3 linked regions of the Cricetulus griseus genome follow. The protein of the gene in region 2 purifies or fractionates together with the protein of the main gene of each other region. This does not show direct contact. Links are inferred from orthologs where the notes say so. Each region holds a gene or a part of one and is shown on either strand. Other genes may lie near its edges. The genes, in order: Hspb1, Isg15 and Flnb.

Region 1 (3,455 bases), on a different chromosome or scaffold from region 2:
GAAAGTAGTAGACTGAACATGACCAGCAAATTGGGGTGGGGGAGGTGAGAGAGGAAAGCAAAAAGAGTGGGGGCAAAGGAGACTAAGAGAGAGGGGGTCAAGAGAGAAAGAGAAAACAGGGAGAGGACCAGGAGAAGGCACAGGTGGAATAGGAGGGTTATAGGGCAATGGGAAGCTGGGGCGAGAAGCCCACTAACTGGAGAACTTTAGGGTAGAGGGTGAGATGAGAAGAGCCAGCATTCCCTAACAGGTACTTGTGATGTTGCATGAGCCTGGAGGCCAGCAAGCCGCTTTGGGATGCTAATAGGCACGACAGATAGCTCTTTGTTCCGAGTTTCTTTTGTACCGGACACACAGCACTTATATAAAAGCTGAATCTGGCTAGTCATAGCGGGGCACGCCTTTAATCCCAGCAGAGGCAGGCAGATCTCTGAATTTGAGACCAGCCTAGTCTACAGAGTGAGTTCCAGGACAGTCAGGACTACACAAAGAAACCCTGTGTTTGGGGGAGGGGGCTGAGTGTGGCCACCTGTGCGGCTAATTCCTGTGCTGAGCTGGAAGGGTGGGGCAATTACAGAGACAGGAGGGCAGTATGGGGCTCCAGTATGCCCAGCCAGTTTGCAAGCTCCAGAGTCAATAAAAGACCCTGTGAAGGAAGGAAAGAAGGAAAGAAGGAAGGAAGGAAGGAAGGAAGGAAGGAAGGAAGGAAGGAGAAAGAAAGAAAGAAAGAAAGAAAGAAAGAAAGAAAGAAAGAAAGAAAGAAAGAAAGAAAGAAAGAAAAATCTATCAGGGCCAGATAGTTCAGTGGACGAAGGCACCTGCCACCAAGCCTTTGCTCCCCAGGATACACATGGTAGGAGAGAGCTGACTGTTGCTGGTAGCCCTGAGACCTCCACAGGTGTGCATGGCATGTGTGTGTCTACACAGGCGTCCCTCTGGTTCAGACCAGACTCAGTTGTTTCCCAGTTGGACACAAAGGACCTAACTTCCAACCGTAGTCTCAAAAGAAGGATGGGACAGGGCCGCAGGCCACCGCCCTTCAGCCCAGGCAGTGAATGCCCGACAGTGGGAACAGCTCCAGCTACCGGTATTACAGTCATTTGTTTTCTTCAACTAGAGAAGTTTCCAGATGGGGGCAGAACCTTCCTGGCCCCGCCTGCCTGTCCCCTTTGTAAGCTTAGGGGGAGGAATGCAGCGGGGAGGGCCGGCCCCTAGACGGTCATTGCCATTAATAGAGACCTGAAGCACCGCCTGCTAAAAATACCCGGCTGGACACCCATAAAAGCACGGCCGGGGCTCCAGTTCGGCACTTCTCGGATCATCTGCCCTGACCCGCACAGCCAAGAACATGACCGAGCGCCGCGTGCCCTTCTCGCTGCTGCGGAGCCCCAGCTGGGAACCATTCCGGGACTGGTACCCGGCCCACAGCCGCCTCTTCGACCAAGCCTTCGGGGTGCCCCGCTTGCCGGATGAGTGGTCGCAGTGGTTCAGCGCCGCTGGTTGGCCCGGCTACGTGCGCCCACTGCCCGCCGCGACCGCCGAGGGACCCGCGGCGGTGGCCCTGGCCGCGCCCCTGGCCGCGCCCGCCTTCCACCGTGCGCTCAACCGGCAGCTGAGCAGCGGAGTCTCGGAGATCCGGCAGACGGCCGATCGCTGGCGCGTGTCCCTGGACGTCAACCACTTCGCTCCGGAGGAGCTCACGGTCAAGACCAAGGAAGGCGTGGTGGAGATCACCGGTGAGTCCCCCTTGTCCCCACAGGGAGAAGCCAGCGGGCTGAGCGCCCCGGTGGCTGTACCGGGTGGGCGGGGGGAGGGTGTGAAGCCAAGAGGGATGGGAGCCTGGAAAGCTAGAAAGGAGCTCCGAGACCGGGAGGCCAGTGTCGTTCTCCCTGGCCAGCTTCCCTTGCTGCGGAACCCGGGCGCAGGCTGCGCCTAAGAGCCTGTCATCCTCGCTGATAAGGACCAACAGCTGGGGGTATAGCTCAGGGCAGAGCCTGGCCTGGCCTACGGGAAGCCCCGGGTTCTACGCACAGCAACGCACCCTCTGGAAGACCCCATTCCCAAATAAGGAAGTGCCAGGACTCCTGCCAGTGTCCCCGGTCCCAGCCACGGAGGGGGCCGGCACACAGCTCTGAGTGCGCCTGCGCTGGTGTCCAGCCTGGATCAGAGCCAAGCCCAGTATCCCAAATCCCAGAAACGAACTTTCTGGAAAGTTTTAAGATGACTCCAGGGAGTCAGGCATCTCACCGCACTCTCGTGTGTGTGCTGCCTTGGAGTCCCAGCCACTCCTTAGCAGGTGGTGGGGTCTGCTACCACACAGCAGAGGCTTGTCTCTGACCTCCTTCTGTCCCACCCGCAGGCAAGCACGAAGAAAGGCAGGACGAACATGGCTACATCTCCCGGTGCTTTACCCGGAAATACACGTGAGTTCTGGTTCCTTGCGTGGCTGGGTGGAGGAAAGCGGACCCAGGGAGGAGAACAGAGGGGCCGGGATCTGGAGGGATGTGTAACCCTTGTCCTGTTTTTCTTCTTGTCCAGGCTGCCTCCCGGTGTGGACCCCACCCTGGTGTCCTCTTCCCTGTCCCCTGAGGGCACACTTACCGTGGAGGCTCCGCTGCCCAAAACAGCCACACAATCCGCGGAGATCACCATTCCGGTCACTTTCGAGGCCCGCGCCCAAATTGGGGGCCAGGAAGCTGGGAAGTCGGAACAGTCTGGAGCCAAGTAGAAGCCATCAGCCTGCTGCATCCCCAACAGCCATCACTCGCCACCCCTCTCTATCAGTCTTTATGCTCTTTTGATACATGTACTTTCTGTTTTTCTCAAATAAAAGTTGGAAGCTACTGCTTGCCACCGTCTCAGACCCCGGTGTTTCTGGCGGGCTAGGGATGAGTGCTCCTTTGGTGTCTTTGCGATGGGCTCAGCCCCTTCTTGGGTTCAGCCTAACATTTCCCTAGGAAGAAGGAAAAAAATGATAATCTGGAGATTAAAATTTTACCAGGGTGGGGCTGGGCATGATGGTGCATGCCTGTAATTCCAGCACCCAGAAGCTGATGCAGGAGCATGGTGAATTTGAAGCCAGCCTGGACTACAGAGTGAGTTCCAGGAGTGCCCGGGCCACATACTTGTTGTCTCCAAAACAAAACAAAAAACAGGAGCTGGGGATGTAGTTCACAAGAGTGATTGTATGGCATGAGGCACTGTTTGACACCGCCCCCCACCCCCGCCCCAGCTTGCACACACACATCCAAAAGCATGGTAACGCATACCTGTAAGTCCAGCATTACAGAGGATCAGAAGTTTAAGGTTATCCTTGGCTATATAGCCAGTTTGAGGTCAGCATGGGACACATGAAAACTATGTCTCAAAAGGAAATTAATGGGGAATTGGAGAGATGGCTCAGAGGTTAAGAGCAGTAGCTGCTCTTCCACAGGCCCTGGGTTCAATTCCCAGTA
Region 2 (3,210 bases):
CCATGTCCTAAATAGCAACTGGTTGATGTGAGTAGGGAGGCCCTGCCCTACCCTTCTGTGGACTAGTGCTGGTGGGACTAGAAACACCCACAGAAAAATACAGCACCCTCCTTCACAACCCACCCAGGCAGGTCCGAGAACATTCCTTCACTATTTCCAAAGGATCTGGGGAGCAACTGGTCCCATTAGGAGCCTCATCCTATTACTTACAGACCTACCCCGACCTGTCCCTAAGCCAGATACAGAGATCAGGACTAGTTGTTGAGGGGCTGGATGAGTCTCAGAACTGGGTCCCAGAAAAAGTGTCTTTCTCTAGATGTGAACTACCCAAAGGGTTTGGAAGGGGAATTCTCTGACTAGGCTCTAACTGTGAAATCCTTGTCCCTTAGCTTGGCAACATAAGGCCTTGTCACAATGGATGGACTTGGGTTCTTTCACCTGACCTCAGCAGGAATGTAGAAGAGAAGGCAACTGATGGACATTTTTGAAGGACAAGCACAGGAGGCAGAACTTCTCATTGGATCACCTTTTATTACCAACATAGGCTATGGATAGAGGCCTCAGGCATAGCATACCCTCCTTACCCCCCCACCCCGAAGGCGCAAATTCATGAACACTATGCACTGGGGCTTTAGGTCATACTCCCCCAGTGGCTGTTGGTCCTCCATGGGCCTTCCCTCAAAGCTCAGCCAGAATTGGTCCTCCTGTATGTGCTCCTTCTGGGACACCTGCCTCTTAAGCTCTGCTACGGTCTGTGTCAGCCGGACCTCATAGATACTGCTTCGGCCCCGATCATTCCGAACCAGGATGCTCAAAGGGTTGTTGCAATTCTGTACAATCAACATGACAATGCTGTCAGGGCCCAGGCCCTGGCTGATGAGGGCAATGTTCTCTTGTAGCATGTTGCCACTTTCATGGGCCAAGCGTTGCTGGAAAGCTGGAACACCAGTCTTGTGGAAAATCTGCCTCTTCAGTCCCGATAACGTCATGGAGTTAGTCAGGGGCACCAGGAACTCGTCACCCCCCAGCATCTTCACCTTCAGGTTCCAGGTCTGCAGGCATCACATGGGTTTAGCAATGATTCTCAACCTTCCTAATGCTGCTACTCTTTAATACAGTTCCTCATGTTGTGGTGACCCCCAACCATAAAATTATTTTCATTGCTACTTCATAATTAATTTTGCTACTGTTATGAATCATAATTTAAATATCTGATATACAGGATATTCTATATGCAACCCTTGTGAAAGGGTCATTTGACCCCAATGGGGTCTTCACCCACAGGTTGAGAACCACTTTAAAGGTTTAAAGACTCCTCTGGCACCAGTACTGGTAGTTACTACATCTGAAGCACTGGTCACAGGACCAGTTCCCATACCCACCCCCATCCTCTCCTCCATCAGAGGGGACCATCCAGGTATGGGGATGATACAGAGGAGTCAGTTCTAAAGGACCAAACTCCTACAACCATCACATTTCAGTTTACCCACCAAGATATCCTTCTGGGTCCAGCCCTAAGGGATCTAGGGCTGGTAGCTGAGCAGACAAGGAACCTAAATCCCTCCCTCATAGTGATCTTTGAGCAACTATATTCTGTTTCCACACTGTGACTATTCTACCTCTTGAAGACCCTCTCAAGGAATGGAGGAAAGCCAACTAGAATGGAAACCATCTGCTCCTGCCCCAAATAGGACTCACCATGGCTGTAGGCTTTATCACTAGGTCCCCTGCAGGAACTGAGGAGTTTGCTTGTTGAGGCTTCTGGCTGCTCTCTCTCTCACATCCAGAGACAGATGTGTGAGAGGGCAGCTCTTTTAAGTGTATGAGCTGTGGGTGTCAAGGGGCGGAGTCAGAGCAGCCTTCTGTTTCGGTTTCATTTTCCCAAGGCATACCTTAAATGAATGGGAAAACCAAAACCAAAGCCAAAGGAAAAGAAACTGTAGCTGAGAAGAAAAGGGACTGGCTCTCCAGGGTCAAGATCACAACTGAGACCTGTGTACTATGAAACCCCCTAAATATCCAGCATTTCAGATCCTTTATAAGGCATGTAAAAGTCATAATAGGAACTAATAATAGGAAACTTATTTTTCATTTATCAGCTTGAAAATTAGTTATCTTGGAAAAATGCCACAATAATTAATTCAGAAACTGCACAAAGTAGTGACAATCAAAACTGCCCAAAGACAACAACTATTGGTTATTTGTTTAGGACAATAATTATTAGAATGTACTGGGGGGGGTTATAGGAAGCATTTTGTTGTTGTTTTCAGACTTCTCTGTGTTGCCCTGGGTGTCCTAGAACTTGCTCTGTAGACCAGACTGGCCTCAAATTCACAGAGATCTGCCCACTGAGTGCTGGGATTAAAGGCATGCACTTCGGCCACCACCACCATCTGGCCAGTAGGAAGTATTTCTATCCTAGGACAATTTATTAAGACCTTATTGTTTACATGAAGAGGTAATAATTGAGTCAGATGGTTTTTGAGCTAGTCCTTCTATGCAGTCCGTGCTGACTTCAAACTCACTATGAAACTGGCCTTAAACTGATCCTCCTTTCTTTCCTGTCCAAATCCTGAGATTACAGTTACACATGTTCTATGCCAATTTCTGCAGTGATGGGGAACCCAGAGCTTCATGCATGCTAAGTAAGTACTCTAACTACTGAGTTATATACTTACTCCTCAGATTTTTTCCTAAGGTTTATTTTTAATTATGTAGATTGGATATGGGGTGTGGGTTCAGATGTGCATATGTGAGTACAGATGCCCTTAGAGTCTAGAAGAAGGAATCGGATATATAAATTTTGTTTATGTATTTATGTTGCATGTATGTATGCATATGTGTGCTTGTACATGTGGAGGTCAACATTAATGTTGAGTGTCTTCTTCAATTACTTTCCACATAGCCATCTTCCCAGCCCAATAGCAAACATTTTTAAAGGAGTAGGATCTTATTTTTCTTTCCAATGACTATATGAATGAAGACAGCCCATTTCACAAGTTAACCTTAACCATCAGTATGGCAACCAGAGATGGGATGGAGTTCCTGAGGCCTCTTCCTTCTATGTCCCCTGCTTGTCTGGTTTTCTTTCTTTTCCTTCCTTCCTTCCTTCCTTCCTTCCTTCCTTCCTTCCTTTCTTTCTTTCTTTTTGCTTTGTTTTTCTGGACAGAGTTTCTCTGTGTAACAGCCCTGATGGATCTGGAATTGGCC
Region 3 (4,148 bases), on a different chromosome or scaffold from region 2:
TTGGTGGCGCACACCTTTAATCCCAGCACTCGGAGGCAGAGGTAGGCGGATCTCTGAGAGTTCGAGGCTGCCTGGTCTACAGAGTAAGTTCCAGGACAACCTACAAAGCAATACAGAGAAACCCTGTCTCGAACTTCCTCCCTCCCCCCATCATTCTGAACTAATCAGCTTGCCAAGTACAACCAAGGGGACCTTTCAGAGAGTTCTAGGATGATGTGACTATGGAGAACTAAGGAGGTAACAGGATGAGAAAGATTTTGTGCCTCAATTTAACAGGCTTTGAAGATAAGGAAGGCATCATAAACCAAAGCACGGACACAGCTTCTAGAACCTGTAAAGGCAAAAGAATCTATTCTTTATCAGAAATTTCAGTAAGAAATACACCGATTGGGCCAGTGACATCAGTTTGGCTCACTAAAGCACAGATGGGACATCTAACTTACAGAGATGCAAAGTAAGAAATTGTGGAACCGGGAGGTGGTGGCGCACGCCGTTAGTCCCAGCACTCGCAAGGCAGAGGCAGAGGCAGAGGCAGGCGGATCTCTGTGAGTTCGAGACCAGCCTGGTCTACAAGAGCTAGTTCCGGGACAGCCTCCAAAGCCACAGAGAAACCCTGTCTCGAAAAACAAACAAACAAACAAACAAAAAAAGTGAAATTCTTGACGTCAGGTTTTGGTAATTTGCTACATCAGTAAAAGACAACTAATATCCATAGAAAACAATGTTCATTTTCACCACTGCTACCATTTTCACAACAGTGTGTGTGGCATTAGACTTTAAGGTTGAGTTTCTTGACATAAGGAAATCAATGTGTCTAATTCACCATTGCCTTGCAGGCTCGGAGAACGGGCGCCTCCCTCTCACTGAAACAGCAGATGGTTTGCACATTCTCTCCATGGGGCCCTTCCGTCTAGTCCCCTGCATCTGCAAGTGCTCTGATTCTGGGCCTTTCCCAGGTTTCTTTCTTCTAGCTGGCTATCATCACATCAGGTTGGTGAAACCAAGGAGACAATCCGGAGTAGTTCAGGCTTTGGGCCATAGAGGGCGAGCACAGCTCAGAAGTCCCCTTCTTTAAAGGCCTGAACGGGGCGGAGCCTCGGGGGCGGGGCAGCCTAGCGCGCAGGCGCCAGGCCAGGCTACTTGGGCGCTCGGGGGCGAACCAGGGCAGAGCAGCTTCTGTTGCGGCTTGGGTAGCAGCGAGTTCGAGCCGCTTTCCCACTTGCCTCGGTTTCCCCCTCCCTGTGTGCTTGGGGCTTTTTAGATCAGTCCCTGCAGCTCGTTGCCTCTGTGTGCGCTCTCCGCCTCCAGGATGCCGGTGACCGAGAAGGACCTGGCGGAGGACGCTCCATGGAAGAAGATTCAACAGAACACGTTCACGCGCTGGTGCAACGAGCACCTCAAGTGCGTGAACAAACGCATCGGGAACCTGCAGACTGACCTCAGCGACGGGTTAAGGCTTATCGCGCTGCTCGAGGTGCTCAGCCAGAAGCGCATGCACCACAAGTACCACCAGAGGCCCACCTTCCGACAGATGAAGCTGGAGAACGTGTCGGTGGCACTGGAGTTCCTGGACCACGAAAGCATCAAGCTCGTGTCCATCGGTGAGTGTTGCGTCCGGGCCCAGCGTTTGCAGAAATCGGGGTACCGGCGGCGCGCCCGCCCCACCTCGCATCGTTTCCCCGGGCTGGGTGTTGGCGCCTAGGATCTAGGAACCTAGGCCTTTTCCTCGGTGCCATCTGTGGGCTGGGACCTGGCGTGATTGCTCGTTGGGGTTCGCCTGGCGGTGCTGCTTGCAGTGTTGCGGGTGGGTTAAGCACTGAGAACCTCCAGCTGTAGCTGCAGATTTGATTGCGGGACCCCTTGGGATTTCGAGGGAAATCATCTGCTGACCCTGGTGGCAGAGCTCTGGAGTCAAATACCAAATCCCTACTTCTTGCTAGCCAGGTGTGCCCAGTGTGATCCGCCCAGGTTGAAAGGGCGTTGGCTGGGAGTCTGGGAGACCTAGGAAGCGACTGTTCACTCTCTGGCGTGGGATCTCTCCGCCTAGGTGGAGACAGGACCTGAGACTCTCCTCTCCCCTTCCAACACCGGAATGGGTGTGGGCCCTGGGAGTAGGGGAATGTTCTCACTTCTCACCTCTGGCTCAGTGTGGCGGGTCGCCTCAGGTTGAGATAATTTAGTGGTGATAGTAATTAATGTCTGTAGAAGAAGGCTTAACTAGCTCTGTATGGCCACAGCCTTCTAAATTATCTCAATACTTAATCTCCCATGGACTGAGATGTCCTAGGGCCCATTTTACAGAAGAGTGGACGTTTAGAGGGCTAGTTGGCTTGCCCAAGGTCACCGCAAGTATGATCTAGCTAAGAACTAAAGCAGGAGACAGTTTTTCTCTTCCCTGTCCCACTCCCTTCCCTGGGTCTTCCTGAGAAGGCGTTTGAGTCTGGCTTCTTTCCTAATGTCTCGGGGCTAGAGAATTAAAGTCTGGAGTAGTTGGAGGTTTTCTAAAGAGGTTCGTGACCGTAGGAACAAGTGAATTGTAGTATATGTGAGGGCTCGCTTCTTTGCCGTGCGCACATACGTATGTAAAGATTTTTGTGAACACAGTGGGTGTGCAGAGTATCACGTATGCAGAGGGTGTGCGCACTCCACTTTGTGTGTCCATGGAGGGGGTTACTTAGGCTGGGGTTTCTTCCTGAGGAAACAAGGCCATTATAGTGACTCCAATGACAGAAAGGAAGGTGGGTGTGGCTTGTCGGACTTTCTCCAGGGGAAAGGGGTTTCCTCTATACTGAACCTCCTCCCAGCCTCATGCTGGACTTTCCCCACACCTGTGCTGACAGGTAGGTCAGCTTCCTACTTCCTGAGTCCAGAAAGCTACAACACCAGCCTGCCCTCCTAGCAGGATCTCCAGGCATGGTTTCCGGGTTCCCATCTCCCATACTGAGAAGGGAGGACCTCAGAATTGCAGAATTCCACAGGAAGTTTTTTTTTTTTTTTCCCCCATGAGGAATGAACCTTAAGGTCTGCCTGGCTGAGCTCAAACACAAAGTTGTGTGTTTGTTTAATTAACTCAACAATTTTTTTTTAAATTAAACCAGGAGTTAAACATGACATAGAATCGCTTAAAAAAGAAACCATAGCACCAGAAAAAAATCAAGGACTGCCTAATTTATCAGCTTTTTACTCATGGGCAGCTGCCTTTAGCATGGCTCCACAGCCAGCTCCAAGCTTGTGAGTGTCATTCTGGACTTGTTCAGTGGTCCCCTGCAGTTGTCTAATTGGTCTTCTTGATTTCCAGCCACGAACCTGTTGAGGCCTGAGTCTCCTTTGTCTAACATCCCAGAGATACCTTCCATTCATCTGATATGGGTCTGTCACCCATGGCCAGCTTGTTGCAGTAGACTTTCACAAGTTGTACTGTTTTATTTGTCTTTTAAAAATATTTCTTGGACTACATTCCCCAAGTGATATTCCTAAGTTAGAGGGTGTGACCACATACAAATCCTTTCTAGTTGCTTTCCAGAAAGATCTGTTAGCAAACAGGTTTTCTCTGGAGACCTTCCCATCTTGCCAGGGGCCCAGACTGCTGAGGGAGGAGATGGAGCCAAAGGCATGTTCTTGCTATGTCTAGGGATGTTGTAGGTAATGACCCAACCATAAAATGTCGCCTGCTTTGGACTTGGGTTTGCTTATTCACTGTTCACTTTATGCTCACCATGGCACTTTCTATAGGGCCACCCACTGTGTGTTGTATTCTGATGAGTACTCCCATTGAATATCCAGGATAGCAAATTGATAGTAATTAATATCCTTCTGATAATGATCTTTCCAAGCAGTCCTGGGAGGGTCTTATGGTTGCTGTTGTTACTTTCACTGTGGTCATTATTAGTGTCCCTACTTAAAGATTGGAAACACTACACTGGGCCTAGAATGAAGCTTTGTTGAATTTGAACTTTGAGTGAATTTCTTTCTAGTGTCAGAGGTGAAAACAATACAGCCTCCCTTCCCTCTCCCGGATTAAAGGGCTGATGTAGCCTACACTTTGCAGTTCCAGGGTGTTGGAGTGGCAGCTTGATACCCAAAATTTGAACCTTAGCCTCATATGCAATAGGGATCATGGGGCCTTTGATGACAAGATTAACCCACTG

The links.
Region 1: the proteins of Isg15 (region 2) and Hspb1 purify together in Homo sapiens (affinity purification with mass spectrometry; 3 studies listed by BioGRID, with this or other methods). This does not show direct contact. The link is inferred for Cricetulus griseus from reciprocal best matches to the Homo sapiens genes ISG15 and HSPB1.
Region 3: the proteins of Isg15 (region 2) and Flnb purify together in Homo sapiens (affinity purification with mass spectrometry; 3 studies listed by BioGRID and IntAct, with this or other methods). This does not show direct contact. The link is inferred for Cricetulus griseus from reciprocal best matches to the Homo sapiens genes ISG15 and FLNB.

The regions. Positions count from the first base shown.
Region 1 is NC_048597.1:114,890,662-114,894,116, forward strand, and holds Hspb1 (heat shock protein beta-1), read left to right. Parts: upstream 1-1,196; 5' UTR 1,197-1,348; coding exon 1,349-1,736; intron 1,737-2,359; coding exon 2,360-2,423; intron 2,424-2,538; coding exon 2,539-2,728; 3' UTR 2,729-2,851; downstream 2,852-3,455. UniProt on the Homo sapiens protein: Small heat shock protein which functions as a molecular chaperone probably maintaining denatured proteins in a folding-competent state. Plays a role in stress resistance and actin organization.
Region 2 is NC_048595.1:121,435-124,644, reverse strand, and holds Isg15 (ubiquitin-like protein ISG15), read right to left. Parts: upstream 1,856-3,210; 5' UTR 1,702-1,855; coding exon 1,699-1,701; intron 1,175-1,698; exon of another isoform or gene 1,053-1,174; coding exon 561-1,052; 3' UTR 512-560; downstream 1-511.
Region 3 is NW_023276807.1:75,740,825-75,744,972, forward strand, and holds the start of Flnb (filamin-B), read left to right. Parts: upstream 1-1,309; coding exon 1,310-1,601; intron 1,602-4,148. UniProt on the Homo sapiens protein: Connects cell membrane constituents to the actin cytoskeleton. May promote orthogonal branching of actin filaments and links actin filaments to membrane glycoproteins. Anchors various transmembrane proteins to the actin cytoskeleton.